Saccharomyces cerevisiae S288C: one gene and its partner. The gene in region 1 interacts genetically with each later gene. Each region holds a gene or a part of one and is shown on either strand. Other genes may lie near its edges.

Region 1 (4,042 bases):
ATGTATCGAGGCCACACCTTTTCATGCGTCTCCGGATGGGGGCTGGAAAAAACAATGCGAACAGTCTATAAATAAACACATTTTCGCAGGGACAGAGTTTACGCAGACACGCCATTTACATAAGCTTGATTACGCGGATTGCCGTGGTGCACTTTCGTGCACTCGCACATATATATGCACGTACATAAGGGCCTCATCTTCCTCTCCTTTTTTTCCCCCATCTACCTATCGCTGTTATTGAACGGAAGCATCTTCTTTTTTTATTATGCTCAGAGGGCCCTACATGACAGCTTTTTTTTCCCCAATGAGCTGCTACGGTGCCAGATCTGCTTATGTTCATTATTTTGGATGGTAACCGTTATAAATTTAAAGCGTTTCTTCGCTAGGATGGTGAATATTAGTATTTATCAGCCGTCTCGTAATCGTTTAGTTCGTTACTAGCGGCAAATTTTGTTTGATTTGTTATATGATCATTTATTTTTAATATCTTGCGTACACAATCAATTGCTTTTTGTTATAACTTGGACATATAAACATTTCGTTCGGAACGTGGCTAAGTCGCATTGGATGTAGTGTGTAAAATAATTCTCGTATATACCTTCAATGTCTTCTCTATTGCGTGTTTGAATATACGACATCCCATTATAATCAGCATTGAGGTTTCTTAGAGACTCGAAATCCTGAAAGGAATCCCTAATGATTTCATCGTATTCACACCAACCCAAACGGATCCAATTTTCGCAGTGGGGGCATTTCACATGGATTCTCCTAAATCCCCCGTTCAACGTTTGAGTGTAGTAGGCCAAAGGAGAGGGAATGATGGATACAGTAAGAGAGTTCAAAATTTTTTTGCTAAACTCTGGCTCTTTTAATACTTGAATTTTGAAATTAAGTTTTCCCTGGATTTTTAACAGCTTAGACTCGAAATGGTATAAAGTGTGAGGCTTAAATTCAGACAAAATGCCGTGCGCAAAGAATAAATGTTTTAGGTAGTTTTCAGCTAGAATCCAATTATTCCCCTGGCAAAATCTGCACATCAATTCCTTTTTCTTTTCAGAGTATCGCATGTATTTATACATTATCAGAGAATCCAGACTGTTGGGGTTTGACTCTTCGGTATTGGATCTACTAGTATTGTATAGTGCCTGTACACATGCTGAGGGGGGACAATTTTGATTTCTTTTTATTTTATAACCAAATTCGGAGTATCTGTCTTTCATCCAGCCTCGGATACTGTGATGTTGGAAACACCTTGGAAGAAAAATCAGTTGCTTAGAAATACTTTTAAACACATGCTTACAATCAGTGTTGGCTTTACCAAAGTCAAAATTTTCGCTATCGTTGAATATTTTCCTTTGTGGGAATATTTTGTTCTTGATGGTTTTTCTTTTGAGTGATCCACTATTATTGGATACATTCGTGGTGTCCGTTAAAACCCTCGAAAGAGTGGATGTTGAAGAGTCAGGTCTTTTAGACTGTGTAAATTCAGCATTACTGTCTATCCAAAAATCCACACCATTTGTTTCTTCAATACGTTGTGCGGGAAAAAAGTAGCCATAGTCCATCTTAAGGCTTTTAAATAGCTAATATTAAATACTGTTAGGATAGCAAGAGTGGGTGATTTATTCGTTAGAAATATACGAGTCAATAAAGTCTAGTACCGAATTAATGTATTAGCGAACAAATTCTTGTGGTTTTTTATGAAATCATCACTACTTCAATGTGTTAAGGTGTATTTTCGAAACATTTTTCGGCGCTGCCAGTAAGACGTACGACCCTTTTTTTAGTGTCAGTAACTATAAAATTATGACGTCCGAGAATAGCGTAGAAATTAAAAAGGGTAACAATGATATCTAGCAGCTTTCAAAAAAGGGAAGGGCGGCACAGAACCTTACATTGGACAATGCTTTGCCTTCACTTATACGATATTTTGCATTTTTTTGCTATCAAGATTTGGTTAATACTGTATCGTGTAAATTGAGATCCCACCTCCAAAACTTGCTTTTGGACAAAGCGATATATTAAAATAACTTAAATATCCGCTTAACCAAGCTCTTGATCCAAACGATATCCGGCTATAGTCAATCACAATCCCTGAAGAACCATTTCCAAGACCATTATCTTTATACTTAATAAATATATAGATTTACAGGTTATTTGTATATCGCTAGCATTATTGCGTGCTATTTTCTAATAGTTACTGGAGGGTTATATAATTTAGGACTTTATAAAAACGAGCATTGTATGCACTTGCAGCAGTGTAGAACTTATCTGACGAAACATGTTTCTTACTTTGTTAACTGATATCATTAGTGATTTTCAATACCGTCTGAATATCCACTATAGCTGTCTTTAGCGCTACGAAGAGAGCACCGTAGAATGGTTCCAGACGGATTCTTGGCCAGTAAAGTACATTCATAAGTTAAACTCAATAGTTTTTCCTTTTGTTACGAAAAATTTCTCAAAATATTTTTTATTATTTTGTTCTTCTTGTGGGAAGAAGCGAAGCCTTTGGACAACTCCCCCAGTAGGCGAATTTGAGTTTATAAAAATTTACATTTAAAACTAATTAGAATTATAAAATTATAGCATCCTTGACAATAACTAATCCTTTCTGTTCGTTGGTAAAGGAAAAACTTAGAGGTGCGTAATTTATCAATTCATCAAATGCTGGAATTTTCCTAACAGCGGTACCATTTACAACCGATTCCGAATCATATTCTCCCCAATAACAGCTAATAGAAACAGACAGTTCGTCTTTTGTCCCCAACTTGTCATCCTCTACATTTCCATCCGTCAAAAGTTTTGGAAACCACTGGACTCCGATATGGTAAGTTTCCTGATCGAAATCAAGTTTATGCAATTGCAGTTCGTTTATGCCAGAAGCAGACTTGATCGTCTTCGTGATATTAGCTTTCTGTGGGGCCGAATTTTTCTTTTGATATACCGTGATTTCTCTGACAGGTGACTTCGCCTGATGTCTACTTTCAAAAGTTAAAGTGCAAGCCCTGTTCTCCTTCACCTCCAAAAGTAACTCTGCAACTATTGGTTCGTAAGGAGATCTCTCTGTTGAGTTTCGGTTATTATGTAAAACATGAACCTTGACCATACTGCTGATGTTCGTATTTCCATTCGTGCTCAATAAATTAGGTTGCATTCCATCATACATACAAAGTTCCATTCCATTGGTTACGGAAGTACAGTTAATATGTGTAGAGCTATATTTTATACTTGGTAAATCTTGCAGCATAGGTTTTAAAAAATTTCCTTCTCTTCCAAGGACATGTACACTGGCAGCGTTCCCTTGAGACAAATCAATATTTTGAGAAAACCTTACTTTTAATGGGTTACTATTGGTAAAGGGGTGCACTAGGAGCGTTTTGGATGCGGAAATCAAGAAAAGCAGTGCAGTTAAAGAAATTGTGATATAGTTGACCTTATAGAAAAAAGGTAAAATTGGTAGCGCGATCAAAATACTGCCCACCATTCCGAACCTGAGTACATCAAATGTAGCCTTACTTCCTTCCTGGACAGTATGGTTTAGTGCGTCCATGATAACATCCACACTGTTAAACAAAATAAATGATGGTATTGGTACAATTAGCAAAAATTGAATGATCCAGGCATAATCGGTATACTCAAGTTTTAGAGAATTTTCTCTAGTACTCAATCCTTCCTCCATGCTATTAGACCCCTTCAGTAATGGTACCCTTTCATCATGTTGTTGTGACGATGAATCCATACCATGATCCTCGTCAACATTATGTGATGGGCCAGCTGAAGTAGTTGACACATTATCATCTTGGATACTTGCTTGATCGTCTTGTGACGATGTAAGTTGATCTTGGGGTTGTTCCAAGTTTTCCTGACCGTCTCGTTCCATATCTATTTGAGAATGGGAGCTGTAATTGGAGTGATGGTCCCTACATTCTCTACCAAGCCTCTTCCTTGTTCTCATTCCCAACGCTAGTGCAAGTAGTCTCAATATAGCAGCTATTGTGCTCAGAAGAAAGAAAATCGAGAGAGGATAAAGCCCGGTATA
Region 2 (6,321 bases), on another chromosome or scaffold:
AACATGTCGTCCAAGTTATTACATCTGCAAAAACTCCATGATTACGCATACTTCTAAGATAAAAAAGGACCTCATCGTCAGGGTGCTTCGTTTTTCTAATATGCGAGTTTTTCACTACATTACGCAGTAAAAGATTAAAAGTGATTGTATTTGGTTTAGTCCCCTCAGCCTTCATTTGTGCAAATATTTCTCTACAAGACGCAAAGTCGAAGTGCTCACTGAAAAAGTATATTGAGTCATTATAAACTTGAGCAGAACGCAACGGCAGAGTCGTCTTATTGGTTGGATGAAGTAGGTGCCGCAGCATCTTACGCACAATACCATTTAGTTTGGAAGATGAACGAAAATTGAACTTTGTATGACTTAGTATTCCAATATAATTTTCAAACAATTGAGGGTTCTTTGAAAAGTCAGGGAGAGGAGGGATCTCGTCATTACTAAACTTAAGAAACTTACGAGTGAAGCGTTCTGGCCCTGAATTCTTCTCATTCGATGTGCAATCTATCAGTAGCGTCAATAGTTCTCTAGTAAACTCTTGAGACTTTGCTGTAAGAAGTTTCTGGAATTTATTCGAGGAATTCGTTTGTTTAGAGAACATATACATTCGTTTTGCACGTTCCTCATCATAGTCATCCCTAATTTGTTTCCTAGAAAGCGTTAAAGTCGGCAGGCTTGAAAGGTATTCCTTAACTTGCTCCCTTTCATACTTCACACCATGCCGTACTATTTTTTTTGCCTCTCCATTAACTGACGTTGATGTTGGGCTATCTATTATTTTTTCATCAACTTTCTTGACATTTGCAATTGGTATACCCTCTCTGAACAGGCCTGGAAATATTACTTTCTGATATAGTTTTGGAGCTTCTCTCCCACTTTTGGATAGTGCTTGTGTCAAACACCTTAATGTATTCATAAATATACTAAATGGCTAAGGATGCCCAAGAGTGCCAGAAGATGCCAGAACAAAATCACCCCGAAGTAATCGGTTTTAGTTCTTTTGGCCTTTCCTCTTTTGAAGTTCTGTGTGCGAAAATGACGATTTTCGCCCGAAACCAATAATACTTTTATGACACTATTAAAGATTAAATATAGTAGAAGTATCTAACTTCAATGCACGATAACAACGAAGCCTGTGTTAGTGTTATCATTTCTGACTCGAAAAATTTTCCCACAGATTTTCTGGTGTGGCATCAGAATAATTAACGAATTTTTACCTATTTTTTCACTACGTAAAATATAGTATAATCTGCTATGGCTAATCTTCTGCTTCGATGGAATCGTCCCTATAGCTTTCACCACCAAACAATGAAAGTAAAGCAGGTAAAAATAGGAGAGCATGCAATGCTGCTACAATGATTAGTGTAAACCACATTCTAAAGTAAAATACATCAAATATTTTCGATTGGGCGAATGCAAGTACACAAACTCCAATGAATTTGGTTAGAGTTATACCTTTGATGACGGACTCACCTATGGTATTCAAGGAATAGAGAACTCTTGAGTTTGCGTCTTTCTTGGTTTCACTGGGGACCACTGTAAATGATCTAACAATATGAACACAAAACTCGACACCCAAACCGACACAAATAATTAAATTGACTAAACTGACAGCGTTGAGTGAGATACCTAGTAGGGCCATCAAAGCACCAATATCTACGATAATCATGGTAACGACCAAAGCCAGTAAGAATGAGCTGCGTATATTCTGCAAGAAAACAGATGAAATGAAAAAAATTAGGATAATGGCACTCCCTATTAGCTTCAACGTCAATGGTCCCAAAGTTTGATATTGAACAAAAAAAATGTAAAACGGCGAGTATGCAAACATATCTAGTTCGGGGAAAGAACTTGATATCCTAACTCCATCACTATACGCCTGGATAAAGTCCTTTTGGGATCTCAAAGGATGATGAGCTGTTCTGAAAACTGACGCAGACACACTCGTTTCATTATAAACTAACGCAGTCGAATATGGCGCACGACCACCTAGAGGGCAGGGGTCACTAGGCGCATTAATCCATATGCTTAGGTATTCCATGAAGTCCTTGCCCTCAGGAAACCCTGACATGTTGTAATTCCAAGAACCCTGCTGGAAACAAGTTTCACAACGTCTACTTGGAAAAGAGGGAGGACAAACCTCATCTGTTCCCTTCTTTAATCTACAACACTGGTCGTTTTGAGGATTTAAAAACATGAAATAATCGTCCAGCCAATTAGCCAATGGCTCCGTAATTGTTGACCTGTGTCTTTCTTGCTCCAGTACATTAGCTAATGAGTCTCTTTCGCAAGTTGTAAATTTACCACATATTTTCTGTTGGTTTTGTCTTTTAGTCAAATCTAAATTCTTCACGACCATGTAAACCGGTGGTCCTACGTTTAGGAAGCTATAAACATCCTTAAAATAGTCAACCAGGTAGGAATCCTGTGGAACAGCCAATGTTTGATCTAGCCCAAATTGAATTTCTGGTAAGAAAACCAGAGATGTGAAAAACCAAGCCGAGAAGATAATGATTATGAGCCTCTTTTGCGTTAACATCTTAAAATAAAACGTTTTCAAAAATGATTCCTTAGTTTCTTCATTTCCGGTAATTTGTTTATAATTGGATCTCTTTTCGTAGAGAGACAAAATGGACACATACGCTGTTAGCTGTAATACTCCGTTGAATATAACAGAAACTGTGGAATATATAGCAAAATTATGGACAGCTGGCATTGTAACAAATGCAGCTATCAAGAAGCATCCGGTTTGACATAGCAATGACATTAAAATGGAAGGAGACATTCTCCCGATAGCGCTTATTATTTTTTGATCAATTGAATACTCCGGTTTTTGCTCGCAATTTCTATCATACTCATGTGTAATCAAGAAAATATTATCTATTCCTATTGCTAAAATTAGAAACGGTATTACTTCTGCTATGATCAATGTCGACTTCAAACCAAAAAGAGTTAAAAATCCGGCTGCACAAACAATAGAAGCCAAAACTATGAGTAAACCAGATATTCCAAGTAACAACCTAGTTTTCCCATCCTTTCTCCTCAAGGCCCATGTAGCATATAAAAACATCATCAGGTATGATATTGCAACGGTCGAGATATCATTATTATTATTAAGCTCTTTTTCCAAGGATATTTCGGTATTAAAACTGATCCTCAGGCCCTCGGGGACCTTTAAATCCAATAAATACTCTTCCAATCTTTCTTCCCAGCGATTAGCTGATTGAGTGTGGTTGGTCAATAGAAGTGTTACAACAAACGCATGCGCATTGAGAATATCATCGTCACTGAAAAGAAGATTAGTTTTTAGAGGTTGCTGGAAAGTAGGTAGACAGTTTACAGGAAATTTCCCACATTCCTGCAGTTCCCTTTTCCAGCTATCCTTGTTTGGTAAGGCCCCCTGAAAATACTGAGTAAAAGACTCTATTACGCATGTAGAATCTTCTGTTGGTCTGAAGCAGAGATCTTGGTATCCAATATTTTCTGACGATTGTAGCTCTTCCGTAATAAAATTTTCAACGTCAAACCACCAGTGAAGTGTCTCATATGATAACACAGGGCCTGTCTCATTCACAACAAATATTTGCTCTGTCCTGTAAAATGGCCCAAAATTATCATCGAAGTACTCTTTTTCTTTGAATTTTTCAGAATTTTTACTCACCCACAAATTAATTGGATCTGTTTCAAGAGTAGCGTACTGAAATATGATGAAACTGAATACAAAGATACTAAAAACAGTGGTTATTAATATCTTGTAGGGGTTTTCAACGGAAAATTGTCCCACTTTCGTAAATAGGTTAGCGAGTTTACCATTAAAAAAGTTAGTTTCATTATTGAAACTTTCGAATACATTCGTCTCTGATTCATCTAAGGAACCTGATTCTGGAACAATATCGTCGTCCACAATCATTGCCCCGTTTTTTTTTCTTTTACAGAGATAATACCACATAAATGCAAAAAGTGCACAGATTGTGTAAAAGATCAGAACAGAAAGGGAAAAACATGGCAGAGGGCCAACTTTACACACGCCATCTTTTAAAGGTTTTAAATGGGGGCAAGACTCTTGACAATCAGAACACGCACATTTATATTGAGCATCATCGCAAGCATAAACCTCATCATTAAATTCCTGCCATTCTTTTTCTTCATTTGCTAAATCATACTTGTAATTAATCTGAAAGGGGGATCCACCAAGCATAGGTTTAGCATCCCCCAAAAACTTCAAGAATTGACTGTAATTTTTAGCACCACCTCCGATTAGGTCCATCGCATAACCGTTGGTAGCAGAAAATTTAATATTCTTACATGAGTCATAAAATTCAGATGCCCAAGACGAATTCATGAAAACGTCTAATTCCGCAACAATATCTTTATCTTCTTTTGACTTTTCTACCTTGGTAATATTGACAAACCTTCCTTGGTCAGCAGCGCAAGTGAAGTGACAGAACAGGTTATTAAAATTCTTGAGGCATGCTGGGCATGAGGAAATTAAAGGTTGAGCCTTTTGTAGGTTATCTCTCAGTGCTACCACTTGATCTTTAGTACAGCAGGCATAACGGACCTCTTTCCACTCTTCACCACAAACTTCAACCAAAAGTTTGCTTGTTTCATCTGAAAGAACAGGAGGTTCAAAACTACGTGGCACAGGGCAAGGTAATTCGTTTCCAAATACTGACTTTTTCCCACAGTTCCCATACATGGCACAGGTAGCTGTTCCCTGAACGAGCCGCATCAGCTGGCCAACTAGTGCTATAATCCATAGCACATTCATGGTTTTACTAATTGAAGTTCTGCTCTTGTTCTTTTTGGAGATGAATTTAGTTATCTTCTACACAAGAACGTTGTTATACTGGTTGTTGATGTTCCTCTCGTTTGGCACTCCCGCTATATAAACGCTAAGGGGGTCACCCGAGAAGTTCAAGGCTCTTTATCAGAATATCGCAAATAATCTTTAGTACTGTAGGTAATGGGCTAGCGCCATCCAGAAGTCTAGTTTAATTGCCAAAAAGTGGCGCTCTTGATGTTAGTGATGGGAAGAGAATATCTTGACTACTCTATCGTTCGGTAATAGTTAATTACTGGGATGCGCTTAAATGATTATACAAGTTATTTATGTCGACGACTGCCTGTAGAAAAACAATGTAGCGAATACCTGCATAGCAGTTCAATAATAGGAGAGAATCATTGCGTATATATTACGAAATACCACAACTGCAACACATTTATGTAAGATTAAATTGTTGCTTACATCTGTTGTGACATTAGCCACGGTATGCAATTAGCTGAATGATTTATTTCAATAAAAAAGGAAATAGACCTTCCCAAAGATAATCCAACTTCCCAGCATTTGCTTTTGAAGTTTTGCTTCGTATTGGAAGGCTTTAAATGGCGTATTTCTTCCGTCATTTCGCACCTTAAGTGTATTCTGTTTCTTACGCGCAACGCACTTTTCTCAATAATGAGATCTAAACAATGATTAGACAGAATTATATATAATGAAAAAAGCAGCATGACTAACTTTGTTAGGAGTTAGGAAAGCCAATTCAATTCATAATGAAGCTTCTAAAGGACTTATTGGTAGATAGAAAGGAATTTGAGGATTGGAAGAACAATTTAACATGGGCTCGGGATGGTACTCTATATTTGACCACATTTCCTGATATTAGCATTGGGCAGCCAAAATATGCTAAAGACATTAATTGCAACAGTAAGAATTTATTTCATGTGAAAGAATTCCCGCTAGAATTTGAAAATAAACTGGATTTCGAGCTGGCGCAACAGAATGGGTTATTAAATTCACAACCTGTTTGTTATCCCAGAGTCTGTAAGCCATCACCAATAGACGATTGGATGGCCGTATTGAGCAATAATGGTAATGTTTCTGTGTTCAAAGATAACAAAATGCTCACAAATCTCGATTCAAAAGGAAACTTAAGTAGCAGAACCTACCATTGTTTTGAATGGAATCCTATTGAATCATCAATCGTGGTTGGTAATGAAGACGGTGAGCTTCAATTCTTTAGCATTCGCAAAAATTCAGAAAATACTCCAGAATTTTATTTTGAGAGTAGTATTAGATTAAGTGACGCAGGCTCAAAAGACTGGGTCACTCATATAGTATGGTACGAAGACGTTCTTGTAGCGGCGCTTTCAAACAATTCTGTATTTTCAATGACAGTTTCTGCTTCCTCTCATCAACCCGTTTCTAGAATGATACAAAATGCTTCGAGAAGAAAAATTACTGATTTAAAGATAGTGGATTATAAGGTGGTTTTAACTTGTCCCGGATATGTGCATAAGATAGATTTAAAAAATTATTCAATT

The links. A genetic interaction does not mean that the proteins touch.
Region 2: mutations in ECM8 (region 1) and NCR1 together harm fitness more than expected from each alone (negative genetic interaction), as found in Saccharomyces cerevisiae (2 studies listed by BioGRID).

The regions. Positions count from the first base shown.
Region 1 is NC_001134.8:387,750-391,791, reverse strand, and holds ECM8 (Ecm8p), read right to left. Parts: upstream 1,566-4,042; coding exon 501-1,565; downstream 1-500. Other genes in the region: PFF1 (Pff1p), read right to left, coding at 2,576-4,042. UniProt on the Saccharomyces cerevisiae protein: May be involved in cell wall organization and biogenesis.
Region 2 is NC_001148.4:543,078-549,398, reverse strand, and holds NCR1 (sphingolipid transporter), read right to left. Parts: upstream 4,769-6,321; coding exon 1,256-4,768; downstream 1-1,255. Other genes in the region: AEP3 (Aep3p), read right to left, coding at 1-913; transcription factor TFIIIC subunit TFC8, read left to right, coding at 5,551-6,321. UniProt on the Saccharomyces cerevisiae protein: Involved in sphingolipid trafficking. May recycle sphingolipids between cellular membranous compartments.